2 linked regions of the Drosophila melanogaster genome follow. The protein of the gene in region 2 purifies or fractionates together with the protein of the main gene of each other region. This does not show direct contact. Each region holds a gene or a part of one and is shown on either strand. Other genes may lie near its edges.

Evidence for each region.
Region 1: the proteins of stwl (region 2) and Wee1 purify together in Drosophila melanogaster (affinity purification with western blotting; one study listed by BioGRID). This does not show direct contact.

What each region holds. Positions count from the first base shown.
Region 1 is NT_033779.5:6,909,507-6,916,391, forward strand, and holds Wee1 (Wee1 kinase), read right to left. Parts: upstream 4,633-6,885; 5' UTR 4,422-4,632; coding exon 3,920-4,421; intron 3,776-3,919; coding exon 3,439-3,775; intron 3,383-3,438; coding exon 2,678-3,382; intron 2,577-2,677; coding exon 2,443-2,576; intron 2,347-2,442; coding exon 2,195-2,346; 3' UTR 1,584-2,194; downstream 1-1,583. Other genes in the region: Rat1 5'-3' exoribonuclease, read left to right, coding at 1-1,386; x16 splicing factor, read right to left, coding at 5,537-5,894; CG32829 (uncharacterized protein), read right to left, coding at 6,177-6,881. UniProt on the Drosophila melanogaster protein: Acts as a negative regulator of entry into mitosis (G2 to M transition). This kinase specifically phosphorylates and inactivates cyclin B1-complexed CDC2.
Region 2 is NT_037436.4:14,402,866-14,412,419, forward strand, and holds stwl (stonewall), read right to left. Parts: upstream 7,075-9,554; 5' UTR 6,898-7,074; coding exon 6,750-6,897; intron 5,982-6,749; exon of another isoform or gene 5,915-5,981; coding exon of another isoform or gene 5,881-5,914; intron 3,973-5,880; coding exon 1,007-3,972; 3' UTR 65-1,006; downstream 1-64. Other genes in the region: CG3919 (uncharacterized protein), read left to right, coding at 8,230-8,407, 8,635-8,945, 9,170-9,319, 9,391-9,554.

The sequences.
Region 1 (6,885 bases), on a different chromosome or scaffold from region 2:
AACAGCCAGCAAAGGAGCGTCGGCAACTACAAGGAGGAGGCCGCGGCACTTCGTAATAGAAAACGGACGAGTGACATGGCCAATTTGGATGACGAAGATGAGGAGGAGAATAACGACGAGGTGCGATTGTGGGAGGATGGCTTCAAGGACCGCTACTACGAATCCAAGTTTGACGTGGCACCGGGTAACCAGCAGTTCCGATACGCTGTAGCCCTGCAGTATGTCCGAGGATTGTGCTGGGTTCTTAAGTACTACTATCAGGGCTGTGCCTCCTGGAACTGGTACTTCCCATACCATTATGCACCCTTCGCATCGGATTTTGTCAACATCCAGGGACTGTCCACGATGTTCGAAAAGGGCACAAAGCCGTTTAATCCGCTCGAGCAACTGATGGGCGTCTTTCCGGCAGCCAGTAGTTCACACGTGCCCGAGCCGTGGGCCAAGCTCATGTCCGATCCGGAGTCACCGATCATTGACTTCTATCCGGAGGACTTTAAGATCGATCTGAATGGCAAGAAGTTCGCCTGGCAGGGAGTGGCTCTGCTGCCGTTCGTCGATGAGAAGCGTCTCTTCAAGGCTTTGGTTCCCTACTATGATCAACTTACTGGAGAGGAGGTGAAGCGAAACAAGCGTGGAGACAATTACCTGTACATCAGCAATCAGAGTCCGCACTACAAAAAGGTGAAGAAAATCAGCGAAAAGGATGATGAGAGCGTTTGCAAAGCCATCTCATTTGACGGTATGCGCGGCACTTTGGGAAAAACCGAACTAAACACTGCCATCAGCGGCGTTCTTAAGTCGCCGATTTCCGGGCTATCGGACATTAATGACAATATAACCGTGACGACCACGTTCAGGGATCCGGAATACGATGAAGACTACATTTTCGAAGCGAAGCGCCTCGAAAACGCCGTAGATCCGCCACAGGTGCTGCCAAATGAGCAGTCTGGTAACAAGCATCGTCCCGTCATCGGTTTTAATAGCCACTTGACCAGGGCCTACGTTCCGGATAGTGGTCACCGCATGCTGAACGCTGGCATAAGGAACCAACAGGGTGGCGGTGGCAATGGAGGTGGAGGAGGAGGCTACGGGCAAGGAGGCGGCTACGGCCAGGGAATAGGCGGAAACCAAGGACAGAGCTATCAGAACAATAGCCGAAACTATAACTACAACTACAACAATAACTACAATCAGCACCAGGGTGGCGGCTATCAAAACAACTACAATAACCGACAGCAGCAGCAATATGGCCACAATCAGAGATTCAACCAGGACAATTCGAATCAGCAGCAGCGCAACTTTAACAACTATAATGGTCCAAGGAACAACAACTACCAGCAACAAGGCGGCAGCAGGCAACAGAATCAGAATTATAGACGGTTTTAGGTGTATCATACAAACAATATAATATGTAGCGCATAACAAAAGTGTAATCCATATTAATTTACATTATTTTTTAATGAAGAAAATATACTGATTAAGGATTTCCAAACAAACTCATGCCAAGTTCTGAGTTTGTTCTTTAAATGAAATACCCATTGCATTTCTATCAAAGCAGCTTACAGCCAACATCTAGTCTTAGTGCCTCAAAGAAAATAAGTCAAATTACAATAATGATCATTTCTCTTTCCATTGATTGCGTAAAAAAAGCAAACTAGCTGGATAATACAAAAAAATGAGACGATTGTTATTTTCAGATAAGGAAAATGGAACATAATTTGACAGGAAATTGGATAATATCAAAACAATTTCTAGTGGAGTAAACAATTGAATTTAAGAAAAACTTCGCAAACATTTTGTTTTAAATCCGGAGTCATAATAAATCCAGTAGTTTTTATGGAATAGCATTCGCTATATTTAACGAATGGAATGTTATTATTTCGATTTCCATGTAACATAATAAATATTTTAATTTCGAAAACAATACTCATTACAACTATGCGAGAATCTTAAAGTTTACAAGGGGCTTTTCTTAAAACGATTGTGCTTTCTTAACAGGGAAAAGTTCACTGAGCTTGAAAAATATATAGATTATATTTACGAATGCTTCAAAATCCATGAGCTTAAACGAAAGCGAATAGTTAGAAATATGTATCGATTATATGAATACGCTTAAAAGGTAACACAATGTGAGCTTAGTTCACGTTCGATTCGGAAGAGTTTAGCTATCGGTTCGGCATCTGTTGCGAGCTTATCAGATATTGGTGATAACGTTCTTGTTGCGATCGGATATGCTGTCGAACTTGCCATGGCTGGAGAATGGCGTGCGCATGCGTCGCGTGAAGCTGCGAAGGCAACGCTGTCCATCCAGACTGTCCGGATTGTTAGTCACCGCAAGAAGATTGACTAAAATGAGTTGCAGAAACGTTAGAAATTGTAAACATCCAGATAACCAACCACCTTAAAGTTTAAGTTGTTATACAACTATTTATCTTATCTTACCTCGTTGCTCGAGCAGTTTAATCTGTTTTTTGGCCTCTCTCAGCTTGTTCATCAGTATCTCGTTCTTGCGCTTCTCCACGGTCAGCTCCAGGCCGAGCTGCAGCTTGCTCTTGGAGTCAACAGCACTCAGAATTCTGCAAATTAAACGAACATTATATGTATTTAGTGTGAGCACATTTATCTTAAATGCAACTAAATATGATTGTCGCTTATACTGTCGACTCAATTTACTTACGGATGACTGAATATAGACTGCGAAGTGGGCCTCTTGTCGGGATAAGGATGCATCATCTGGGCTATGAGCTCGTTAAAATCCCTGCTCAGGCTCGGCAGAATCGGCACCTTGCCATCTCGCAAGTTGTGCCATTCGGGTCCATTTTTAGGCAGCGGACCACCGCCGGCCGCCTCGAACAGCGTGATGCCCAGGGAAAATATGTCGGCCTTGAAGAGATTCGAATAATCCTCGTGAAGGATCTCCTTGGGCAGGTAACGACAGTCTCCCTCCTCGACGTAGGGTTCCTTAACGGAGGTCACGTGTCCCAGGTCGCCGATCTTGTACGTAACCAGATTCTCTGAATGGCGCAGTTCTTCATAGACGCTGTCCATGCCATCGTCATCTTTGGTCTGCTGCGGCTGCACCTCCACCAGCTTGTGTGCATTGGGATTCATGGTGGAGAATATGTTTTCGGGCTTCAGATCCATGTGCACCAGGTCATTTGAATGAATATAGCGTAGGCCCTCTATCACATGCATGAGAACAATCTTTAGCTCTGCCTCACCCAAACAATGATCTTGGATGCGCGCGTGCAAGCTGCCACCATCGCAGAATTCATTCTGTATCAGCATATGATCGTCCTCCGCCCACGCGGAATAGTATCTAACCACGTTATCGTGCTTGCCCAATACAGCATGGGCCCAGACCTCGTTCAGGGCTCTCTTTCTGCAAGCAAATAGATTGTTAAACGACGCTCGTTGCAATAACTAATGAATACTCACTCGAAAGAACTGCCTGCCACCGGCTTCTTACTCTTTTTAATCGCATATATGCAGCCATCTAGTCGATTGACGCATTGGAACACCACACCGAACTCGCCAACGCCGATTACGTTGACTTGCATGAACTCCCGCTTGAAGCGACTGATGTTCGTGTCGTGCAGGGCCAGCCGCTTGGGTGCCTGCTGGTGGATTTCGCGCATCGAGTCGCCCGCCTCCTCCGTCACATCGTCGTCGCAGGCATCACTGAGCAAATACTTTTGCATAGCATTCACGTTCAGGTTGAGGTTTTCGCGTCCGAATTGCGTGCGACAGCGCTTCTTATTGTGAGCCATGAGGCCTAAAAATAAAAAAAATGATTATTAGATTGCTAATAAGACTAAGCTGGGATGGGTTAAAGTGGAGTGCAAATTAAAGCAACGAACTGGAAATTGATACCTTTATTTAATTAAAATATCAAAAGCGAGAAACGTTTTAAACTTACTATCTGGCGTGAAGGGGTTCACATTTGCCGTGTCCTGGGTGGGCAGTTTGCGGTTGTGCAGTGGCAGAGATCGCGGGCGCTCTGACAGGCGGAAGAGGTCGTCGCTGCGCCTGGAGGCATTCACTGCCGCTGCTGCCGCCGACAGATGGTTGCTGCACTGCGTCGTCGACTTCTGCAGGATGGTCTTTGGAGTGGCCGGTGTGCTAAAGAGTCGCAGGGCCCGCACCTTTTGGCATGGCGGCGACATGGACACGTCCCCGTCGCCGCCTTCTTTGCCTATCTTACTGTCCAGCTGCTGCTCCTCACCGGAGGATAGCTTCGGCCGCTGCTGAAGGGGATGCTGCGGACTCGCTCCCTCGGGCGTGTCCTTGTCAAAGTCATCATCGGCGAAGCGGAGCTTGCGCGGATTGAAGACCTGCGGCGATGGCGAACGCGATCTCAGTTCGACGCTTGAATCGAGTGAGGTGACGCTCATCTCGTGCTCCGACTGGCGGAATGCCATTGTTGCTGTAGCTGTCCAGCTGACCACGTTGAAAGACGATTCTGTTCGTTATTTCTGATTTCAGAACTATTTGTATGGAAGCCGGCGGCAGTAAAGTAAAGGCAATAGTTAAAAAAAATGCAAAACAAAACACAAAACAAAATTTAACTGGAGGAATGCTAGTCTAATAATGTGGCCGTACCCGATGCGCAATAAAATACCAGCTCTGACTGAAAAAATACTAAGTAACTGGAAGTGCAGAGTTACCAAACAAACAAAATACTAAACATCTGGCAAAAATACCAATTTAAATAATGCGCACCTACTTCTAAACTGAGTGACCAGACTTGTTCAAGACCGCATAAAGCCCGCCAAATTCAAATGGAAAACAACTAATTTTGGCATTTAATTTATTGATTGAATATCTGTATTTTAGTGTTCAGCGCATTTGCTACATAATTCAAACACACATCTCAAGAATCCATACATATGTATTTTTTTAATACTTAACTATGACATCAATGTATGAATAATTATTATGCACTGTTGCAATACTTAATTATTACGAATATAGAAACACATCATACAGAGATTGGAGTCAAATAATCAAGTTGTTGTGTTGCATAAATTGAAAATTGTGTAAAATTGACATGAAAATGGTGGCGATGCTTCGTCCTCTGCACATTCGAGTATAATTCCAGGGTAAGCAAAATAAAATCCAAGGCAAATCAATTTACATAGCAATCCTGACTAGATCGTTAATCTGCGGCTGCCGATACATTTCTATATCTTAAATTTCCTTCCGTCAAATGATTTTCCGAAGCGCTCTCCTTTGTTCTGCGTGTGCTTGTATTTGTTGTTGTGTTGGAACATTAGAATACCTAAATATGCAAACTCGAGTTCCACTATAAATTAAAACCCTTAACTAATATGGTTTTGGACAACTAAAAACCTTAGATGGATACTGCATGAAAAAGTATTTGGGAATCTGTCTTGTTACACGTGAGGTTGTTTCTTTTGGGAATGAGGATTAGAGTCCAGTGCGTGGAGAGCCCATCTCGCCGGATTCATCGGGGGGTTGCAGCTCCGGCCCTCATCATCGCATGTCGGGCTCCGTCTGCATCCGTTCGCTGTCGCTAGTCCCTTGAAACGGATCGTGAGGCGGACGAGTCACCACGACGCCTGGGCGGCGATCCACGGCGCACCGCTGGCGACGCCGATCGAGATCGGGAACGCGACCGCGGCGATCCCCTAACCCGGTCATCGTCCTCATCCTCATAGCGCCGTTTTGGCGGCGGCGGTGAATCTACCGCTCCACTGCCGTTGCGCTCGTGGTCGCTGTACCTCGACGCCGATCCGTTCTCGTCCCGTCCGTTCGAGCGGCCGGAGCGACGGCCCACCGAGCCGGCGGAGCGACTGCGGGATCGAGTTCCGGACTTGGAGCGAGTGCGCCTGCGTCGCGATGTGCTCCGAGATCTGCTGAATGAGTTGCTTCTGGAAATGAAATGGGATAAATCGTCGTGATTAGCTATCAGGCTTTTCAAAAAACGTAACAATTTAAGCTACCTTATATATGTATATACTAATATACTAATACATTTAAATATATTATAGTGTGCTATATTATTTGAAACATTGTAAGTATCAAAACTAGCTTTTAGCAGATTAAGTTTTAACAGCTTATTGAATAAAACACAAGACAGTATAATATTCTAGAACCTCTCCCAGTTTTAATTCTGCATTTCACATAAAGATCACATGTATAATATAGCTTGCTCAATGCTTGCCGCCCTTCTTTTTGTAGTGCTTGTGGCCGTGCTTCTTGGAGCCCTTCTCGCCGTGCTCCTTCTTCTCCTCGAAGCTGTCGCCGTACTTGTGCTCCTTCTTGTACTTCTTGTGGTCCTCGTCGTGGTGACCCTTCTTGTAGTGTCCGTGGTGCTTCTTGTGACCCTTCTTTTTGCCGCCCTCGTGCTTTTCGCCCTTCTTGTGCTCGCCGTGCTCCTCGGCATGATGATGGTGCTCCTTTCCATACTTCTTATGATGTCCGCCCTTGTGCTCATCATCGTAGAACTTCTTCTCCTTGATGTACTCGTCCTTTTTGAACTTCTTGTGGTATTCTAATTCCTTGTGACCCTTCTTGTGCTTCTTTTTGTGATGATGTTTGCCGCCCTTCTTGTGAGCGCCGTGTTCATGCTTCTCACCATGCTCATCCTTCTCATCGTAGTGTTTCTTCTTCTTCGATCCCTTGTCGCCGTGGTGGTGCTCGTGGTCTTCCACCTCGTGGTGCTTCTTCTCGTCCTCTTCCCATTCCTTGTGCTCCTTGTGTCCGTGCTCACCCTTGTGCTCCTCGTCACCGAACTTCTTCTTCTCGTACTTGTCGCCACCCTCCTCCTCCTCGGATGATGAGGCCTCCTTCTTCTTGGCTGCCGCGTAAGTCAGCAGGAGTCCCAGGACCAGCAGCAACTTAAAATGACCATGCATCTCG
Region 2 (9,554 bases):
ACCTTGTAAATCTTTACCGGTGGTTCACCCAAAACGGGAAGTATTTCAATAACGTTGGAATTACGTTTGATCAAATTTGCAAATTTATTTTTTTATTCTATTTATAAATACAAGAAGGTTTTATGTTATTACTGAATTGTTATGTTTAGGCTTTTCTTAGCTGCGTCAGCGTTTTCATATCTAATCTTCTGTTATCGATGATGTGTTACTTCGTAGTTAGGTCCACGTATATATCCTGATAGTGGTAATTGCATCAGTTTGTGTGCTTTGGAACTGTTAATTCCACCGACTCACTGATGTATTGATAAAAACAATTTAATATTATTGATCAGTATCTAAATACTCTGAAGCTTTGGAAATACTCCAGAATCGGTACCCGAACCAAAGATATTGTCATAATTATTAGAATTAATTAATTTTCATAATTTTACTTATGTCTCTGCTAGAACAACGTCTGGAGCACCCACCCTCCAGTTTGGTTCACCAACCAAACTAATTTTCAAATTTTCGTGATGGTTGTTTCGCATAAATGTACTGCAATATATTTCACTACCTAACCAAAGACATTAGAATAATATTCTAGTGACTTTGACCTAACTATGTATAGAAATATATTTCCATAAAAACATATTTAAATATTTTTTCAGTTGTCCTTTTTGTTTAACTTATAAGGGCAATTTTTATTCGATATATATAACTAGAAAATGTGAAATAAAGTTAAGATTCGATTTCTCATTAATCATTTTTCTTGTGCAAATTTTGAACAAAACTGTCGGTTTTCTATCGTCTAAAAAATTATGAACAAAATAGAAAAAGTTAAAAACTTTTTCCAAAAAAAAAAAATTCGAAATTCTTAAAATTATAGGGAACTATAAAAAATGTTTAACGCAACATTATAAGTGCATTAGATAGCTTAACAATTTTTCAACGTGTTATTTACGATTTAATGAATCTGTCTTAATTCTTTACTCTTTAATCAATACTCGGAAATTTCTTTGGCCTGGTCTTAAACACCGAGTATGTCATTGTGATCCTCCGCGGGATCCACTGGCTCTCGCTTAAGGTTGTCCAGCGAAAAATCATCCGCAGCAATAGTGGCTGCTGTCTCCGAGGATTCAATTTTATTTCTCTGCACCGTCTGACTGGCCTGCTGAAGAAGGTCCTGAAAGGAGGTTTTGGTATTAGCCACCACCAAGCTGCGCTTCAGCGCCGAGGTAGGCGAACTTTCTTCGCCGTTTACAGAGGCCGTTGCAGCGGGCTTGGGCTGGGCAAAGTCATTGAAGGCAGATCCTTGCACACTGGCAATCTGCGGAGTTTTCTGAAGCAGGGAGGCACCGCCAGTGGGTGAGATTTGCTTTTGGTAAGCAGGAACGCAGCCCACAGACTTCCTCACTAGTAAACTGCTGCCTTGCGATGCAGTGGTCATTTGACTAGCACCTACGGCAGAATACCGAGGGCGTTGGGTAGGTGGCACCATTCCATGCCCAGCTGCTATCAATCGCCGCTTAAGCATAGACGCTTCCATAGCGCTAGCATTGGAGTTTATGGTGCTGCCATTGGCGGAACCTTGGCTAGCGTTTTGGGCATTGGGTGGATTGCTGCTACCGCACACGGAATACCTCCTGGACATGGCGCGGATATTCTCGGAGGCAGCTCCCTTGGCCGTCGTCGGTCCATTGCCTTGTCCAAAGAAACTGTTGATCAATGAACCCTGCGGCCTTATAGCAGCCACTACAGCAGCTCCTTTGGGACTGCCTGTTGGGGCGTGGTTGGCCACCTTGACCACACTATGGTTACTGTCAACACTATCCTTGCGCAAAATTTCCTGAGTGGCACTCAAGTTGCCATTCGGTTTACCACCCATAGCCGCTAACCTGAACAACCTCTTATCTAGTCCACCCGCCGGGCTGGTGGGGGCGATCTCTTGTCCAGTGCCTGGCTTGTATACCCTCTGAATGACTTGGCGTGTCATATTTGTTCGGGGTCCTCGCTGTACCTCAGGAGCAATTCCACTGCGGGAAGCTGTAGCTATAGCTGTAGCTTCTCCTGGCGGTCTAATTAGGGTAACCTTAGCCGCGCTCACCATGCTGACTAGCTCCCTGACCAATCGAAGTTCCGGATCTGTAATGTGCTCAAATCCTGAAGGAGTGTTTATATTAAAATGCTGCAGTTCTTTAGACGTTGGGAAATCGGTAGCATCATCAAAGGTTTCCATCAGCGCTTGGAATACTTTCTTCTTAAAGTGCATCTTCTGACGGGGGTTCATTTCCTGCATCTGGGGCTTGATCATTTCGAGAAAGTAATTATCGGAGAAAGGATTCTGGACTCCGGTTTGAGTGCCTCGCTCAGTCATTTTCAATTGGGTTATACTCTTTCCGACCGGAACGGATGTTCCAGCTGTGGTGGTTGTGGGTATATTAGTTATCACCGCACCAGAGGCACCAGTGGTGGCCTTGCTGCTGCTGCTGGTGCTAGATGAATTCGGACTGTAGCTTATTACATTAACGTTTTCAGTAGTTTTGATGCTGTTGTTACTGGTACCTTTGGTAATGGTATTAGTAGTAGCGGTGCTGCTGCTTATGCTAGTAACGACGTTGCTTTTGATAGCAATATTATTTATGTTACCACTCGCGACGGAGCTGGTGGGCTTGCCAATGGTCAGGACTTTGGTGTTTATGGGCGACTGTGGCTTGGTCTGCGTTTCCGGCGCAACTATTCGCTGCACCATAGGTAGCTTCTTGGGCGGCCTACCCACGGACCTCCTTTGTGGTGGACCAGATCCCTGCGGGTTAGCGATCGCTTCATCGGTCGTCGGAAAGATCAGCGTCTTCTGCTGTTGTTGAGTCTTGAGTTGGTTTTGATTTATATTCACAACTCCAGATGGCACCGCAGGTCTCGGGAAGATGTCATCCCGATGACTGATTTTCGTGATCTGGACTGGCCCGGATGGCGGCTTGTTGATCGGCTGAGACCTGGGGACTGGAGTCATTTTCACAGGCGATGTGGAGCTCCTTACACTGTGTACAGCCGCTAAACTCATAGATTTCCTGCGCTGCAATCGCGTCATTCGTTGTGCTTGGCCTGGTTTCTGGATCGGTAAATCCCTTATGCCAGCGAAACTTATTGATGCACGGGCTGCGCGACGTGGACGTCGGGTTGGAGAAGTAGTGTCGCTGCCTGTGACGCGTTTTTCACCATCCCTACCATATTCATCGCCACTATCTTCCATAGCCGTTTCCAGAGGATCCCCGGAAATAGATTTTGAAGCCTTGGATTCAGCAAACGAAGACGTCGAATTCTTTCTGCCAATAATTAGCAAACGAGGATCTCTGGTTTGCTTGACAAAGAACTCCGGCTGGCTAACAGTTGAGTCGGTGTTATTCTTCTCTAGAGACTTCTCCGGCGTTAACTCCTTTTCCTGATTCGATTGTTCCAAGTCAAAATCGAAACCTTCCAGATCTTCTAGGTGCTCCTCGTCCATGCACTCGTCGTCTTCATTATCAGACTGCAGAAAACTATCGAGTTCAGGAACCTTCTCTGGTTCGTCCGATTCCTCCAAATCATTCAGCTTCTCTTCAGCACTTTTCTTCCTAGATCGCTGTTTATCTCCAGGATTTTCCCAATTTTCTCTCTTGTCTTGGGACGATTTTTCCTTACGAACTTGACTTGCCAGCTTGACCTCCTTAACTAACTTGCTTGTCGATGATGCGCGTTCTTTTAATGACGCCTGAGCATGATGATCCACGCCCTCGCTGTCTCTATTGTTATCCCTGTCCTTGTCCGATGATACGCTGCGGTCATCGTCGGCAGCCATGTCGTCAGCTATGTTTAGATGGCGGTCCAAAAAGCGCAGCTCATCGGCCAGCGGATAAGCCAAACGACGCTGGCCATTTCGTCGCCGGTTGGCGTCGGCGTTGCACCAGCGGGTATAGTCATTTCGCAGCTGACGCCAGCGTCGCTTGCATTTTTCCACTGCAAGAGGGAACAAGAGGGAAATGATAAGGCTAGGTAAGAAGATATGATACGTAATATATATCAGGCAACAGGTAGCGGCCCAACCTTTACTTCTCAATAGCATAACACCCCCTGATTGCCCGGAAAATTCCACTTTAATCTTAGCTCATAAAACTTTGTGTGCATTTTACATGAACAGGTAATAAGAGCTCAGGAATGCTTATTAATAATGGGAAGAGACACTAGTTAAATTATTTTTAATTTCAAAAAACCAACATTGTACATGGTTCCGTAAATGCAAGTTTCGCTTGAAAGTATGCTATGTATGAATATCTAAATGAGTATAAATGAGTATTCGGTGGCGAGTACATGCACTGCAGTTTATATATAATTTTTTAGCTGCCTGAAGGTAGCAGTATTTAATAATTAAGCTATACATGTATGTAAATTTTTAAAAATAAAAATAAAAGCACTGCAGTGTGTAACTGCTAGTCACAAAATCGGGGCATCCAGTACGCACCGCGAACCCTGAATCACGGGTCCTACAACCCGGATGGCACATTACTTGTTTTTAATAAGAATACACTAGATCTTGGAAATATATATAAATTTTGGATTACATTTATTAAAATCGAAAAACTATATTTTCAATACCAACAGTCGGAAAATGATTAGCTAATTAATGGTCTTAATGGTCTAAATATGGTCTTCGGTATTAGATATTTCCATATTATTTTTTAATTGATCAAATTCGTATGGCTCTTTCCATTGGAGGAAGTGGCAAAATTGATTTGGAGTAATAGACAAGAAATTCTTAGCTTCTACGTGCCAAAACTGCTTCTTAGTTATCTGCCTTTATACTCGCCGATTAATATGGTTTGTAACAGTATGTAACTAACTACGCTGCGGAAGGTTATTTTCAATTACCGCGGCCAAAATCTGACAAAACTGACACATGAAATTTTGTGTTCGGTGCCATTTCAATTCTTGTCCTTGCATAAGGATAGTTCAAATAAAAATCGGGTCATAAAAAATAAGCTTTTTTCTAGCCAAACATAACAATTTTTTAAAGTGATAAAATAATATCAGCTATAACATATACAAGAAAAATTGTAGGAAATTACTTTATATTTTTAAGACAAAGCATTTTTGCAAAAAATTAATTTACAGTGCAATAAATCACCACAAAAACAAATAATAAGAGAATGAATAATGGAAGTGGGAAGCTTTATAATGCATATAGATATGGCATATAGATAGATATTGGGGAGTCAAATGAGAAAATTTTAAAAAAACTGTTCAAAAAGTCAATATAAATTTACAAAACTAATTAAAAATTATGAAAAAACAAACTTTCGCTGCGTCTAAGTCCCTTTAATCTATATGTTTAATTTGAACCTTTTTGTTTCTATAGTTCCTGAGATCGACCTTCATACCAGTTGCATACATACTTTGCAACGAATCCCTTCCAACGTATACCCTTTAAATCTACGAGTAAGGGGTATACAAATTAGAAGCGTCCATTTATCTGCATGACCATACATGACCATATATATTTATATAAATATATATATATGCAGATTTCCGACATACATACATGGGAACGTACATGGATGTACATATCATACATATTTATAAGGCGTGCAGGTTTCCGACGCCCAAACTTCTAAGATACGTTTTAATTTGTTAGTTAACAAAACCTGTAGACATTGCTGAAACACCCTTTATCTGATATCCAAACACATTACTTAAAAAATAGTTGTGTTAAGGAATCGTGTAAAGTTTAGTAAAAGGTGTCAGAAACCACGTGGAAATAATCGCAATCAAATTGAGAATCATACTTAAATATGTACATGCACGTGTGTATGTACATATGTACACTAAAAAGGATTTTTCTTTCTTTTGCGATATATAAATAAAACTTACAGCAAGAATTCTCGAATAAGAAGTCCCCCATCATTGGCAATATTTTTTCAGTTCTCAAATGAAAAAGAGCCAACTTATATTGTACTGCTCGAAAAGTTTGGCCAAAAGATCTTTCCAGGGAAATATATATGGGTCAATCGATATACACCGACAACAAAATCAGAGATGCATGGATAAATGGAACTACCCACTCATAATATACCAATATAATACAATATACCAATTTTCTAAGGTTAAATTTTACTCAGCTAATGGGCGATTAGTGTTACCAGTGTTACCAAAACGTGCAGAAGGATTCAAATCATTTAAAAAAAATTTATAAAGCTAATAAGAATTAAATGAAATGGATTTGGCTACTGAATAGACTAGATATTATTATTTGTCATATTTTGGTTTTTCTGTATTTAATTTATTTATTTTTAAATCCTTCTAAAATAATGTAATATTCAAATAAGACATTTTTTTAATATGAAATAACAAGCTTGTTGGAGAATTATAAATTATAAAATGTTAAATTAAAAAAATAATAATAACAACAAACGAAATAACTTTGTTTAGTTTTTACCATGCAATTATTGCAGTTGCCAAATAACTAATATAAATTACTTTCCAGCTATTTACAAAAATTATGTCACAGCAAGAAGCAATTTCATCCCAAACGACTACGCATTCAACAGGAGACTCGTTATATTCGAATTAATCGATGCCAGCTGCTTTGTGATGGCATACATGGCGCTGCCAACTCGCACACAACTATCGACGGCCGATAATTCGGGGACGACTGACTGTTGTGCGCGCGTTGACGCTGTGCAGCACTGGCAGAAAACTACGCAACGTCGATTGCTATCCCGCTCGCACTCACGACTCACCCGACTCTCCAACTTCGGAGGCAACCATGTCCCAGGCGTTCTCACTCGGCAGGCGCTTCCTATAGTTTTCGTCGGTACGATCATAAAGCGCAGTCTGCTTCTCCACTGACCGCAGCAACATCAGGTTCACCTCAGAGGCGGCGCTCATCGCTAGTTCACTTTGCAAGAATCCAATCGAGAGAGCTCGCTTCGCCAGGAATTTATCGGTTTTGTGTTATGCTACAAACGCAAACGCAATTCACACAATCACAACACACGCGCGCAGCAGCTGAGACTAAAAACGGCGACCGACTGCAGCGAAAACTAAAAGCGAGTATTGAGCACACACACACAGCCAAGTGAGAGTGTGAGCAGAGAGCGGCGCCTTGCGTTGCAGGGAAAAGCGAGTTGGCAGGCCGAACGGTCGTTGACGAGGGTTGACCAAGGTGGCCCCGGATAAATTTATTTTTTACCTGTCGGGCTAGACTATAATATTTTTTTACGTTTATAAATAATGTTTTTTACGCGTTGTTCATAATTCTCAAAACCGCTCAACCTTGTTTTCCAGTTTCTCTAAGATTTGTTAGCATTTATCTTAAAATAAAATAACTTCATTTGACAGCCAATACAAATATGAAATATTTTATTTTGTACATTAATTTAACCAAAATCGTAATATTCTTGAATAATTTTTATAATTTACAACATTTAGGGGTGGTCATTAATTAATTGGTAAATGCGTTGGCAGCACCTCCAGCGATCAAATGGCACTGCCAACACCAACTGCTATACTATTGCATTAAGTCTGGCAGTGCTGTCTACTTTGAGTGAGTGTGCCTTTCATTGTATGTGTGAGATCCAGTGGCATGTCAATTCTCTCTCAGAGAGGGTTGTATGCTGCTCGAATGGTAACCCCCGCTGATTTGCGAAGAGAATGACTACGCCTCTGGCTTTCCGTTTGTTGTGGCTCCTTTCTTTATTTATTTTGCCGGTGTTTTATATTCTCCGCCCGTTAAAGATTCAAATGTCCAATTCGAATCAGTCTAGTGCTCATGTGCTTTAAAATCAAGAACAATTGCTATTTGAAATTGCAACATTCATTTACAACTGCATCACTTGTTGGCAGCAGCACGAAATCGCAGTGTTCAAAGTTGCTAAACACTTGTAATAGCAGCAACTCCGGCGTCCACGCCAACAACTGCCGCGTGCACGGAAGCAACGAGCGGCTTGAGCCCGAACTTAATAAGCCAAAACTCGTGATAAAAGCACTGACATCGATTAATTGGAGCATTTTTAAACCTAATTCACGTAAGTTTAAACGAAAGATCTGGTTTCAGAGAAAATAACTGTTGTTGAAAGCGGAGCAGAGAAGCAAAGTAGCGGCAAACAGCTGTTGCACGGTCAGGCGACACATGTTTCAGATTCGATTTCGGGTCTTCTACTTTAACTCTATTAATTATATTAATTAATTAAATTTGCATATTTAGTTTTTATATATGAAATGAATACACGCCGTCGGTCCATAGCTCCACCACCGAACGTTTACGCCATCAATGCCAAAATATGTCATTTGGTGAAACTACATCCTTGTCTTTACGATCGTCACGATGACAACTACTTGCGGAAATCGACTGTGAAAAATGCGTGGAAGGAAATATCCAATGAGATGCGAAATTCGGGTGGGTTTTTATCTATATTTCGACATATTGCATATTAACTAAATTTACTTTAATTATTAAATTTACATTTCATTAGGAGATGTTTATATTTTTATAAGCACGATTTTACTATGTCGATACATAATATAAAATAAAATATAATCTCTTATAAAATCTTACAATTTATATTATATAAATATTATATAATATTATCTTACAATCTTATTGACTGCTATTGATCATTTCAGTTAAAAGCTGCAAGGAACGTTGGCGCAACATTCGCTCCAGCTATGCCCGCTCAATAAAGTTGCATCACGGTGCGAATACGTACTATCTTAACAGCGAGCTGAAGTTCCTGCAAAAGCACATCACTCCCGGAGTGCCCGTTCCGCTCAGAGGTCGTAGGTCAAGACCCAAGGGACAGGAGGAGCACGACGAAGGGGATCCCGAAACTCCCGTAGAGGCAATCCTCGAGATGGTGCACTCCCCGAGCTTTCTGAATTCGGAGCATGCGCAGAGCCGTCACAGCACCGACCCTGCATCGGCGACGGACGTTGAGGTGGGAGCAATACTCAGATGCATTTTGCTGAGGCCTTAAATTATTACAACCTTGTTTAGCGTTATGAACTATACTTTAAAGTAAAAAAATGATGTATGCTATATTTTTGGTCAAAAGTTAAAGCTGTGCAAATTAGCTTAGTTTTATACTGTGTGCCCGTTTTTATTTCAAAGCTGAAATTTGCATTTATAATTTTAATGATGCAGTTTCCTTTAATTCTTCAGGCAACACAATTTAATAATGAACCATCATCAATCATGGATTTCGAGGACACGGTCCCGGCAGAAATGCGCACAGAGAGCGACAGCAGTGAGAAGGAGGCCAAGGTGGGAGAAATTACTTTATATAGAGTGCCATTGCTTGAATTCCCCAAAGTAACAATCTATTAAGTGCAAAATTTAATTTGTACAGCGTTTATTTATGATTTGTTATTTTCTTATTTCAGACATCAACCCGCTGTATTGAAGCATTGCCAATCATGGATTTCGATGACGCATTCCTGCAGGGACTGCGTCCCGAAATCAAGCACATGAACTTCCACCAGAAGCTGTACTTCAAGCGACGTGTGTACGACCTGCTTGGCGAGATATTCCATTCCGAGCAGTCAGC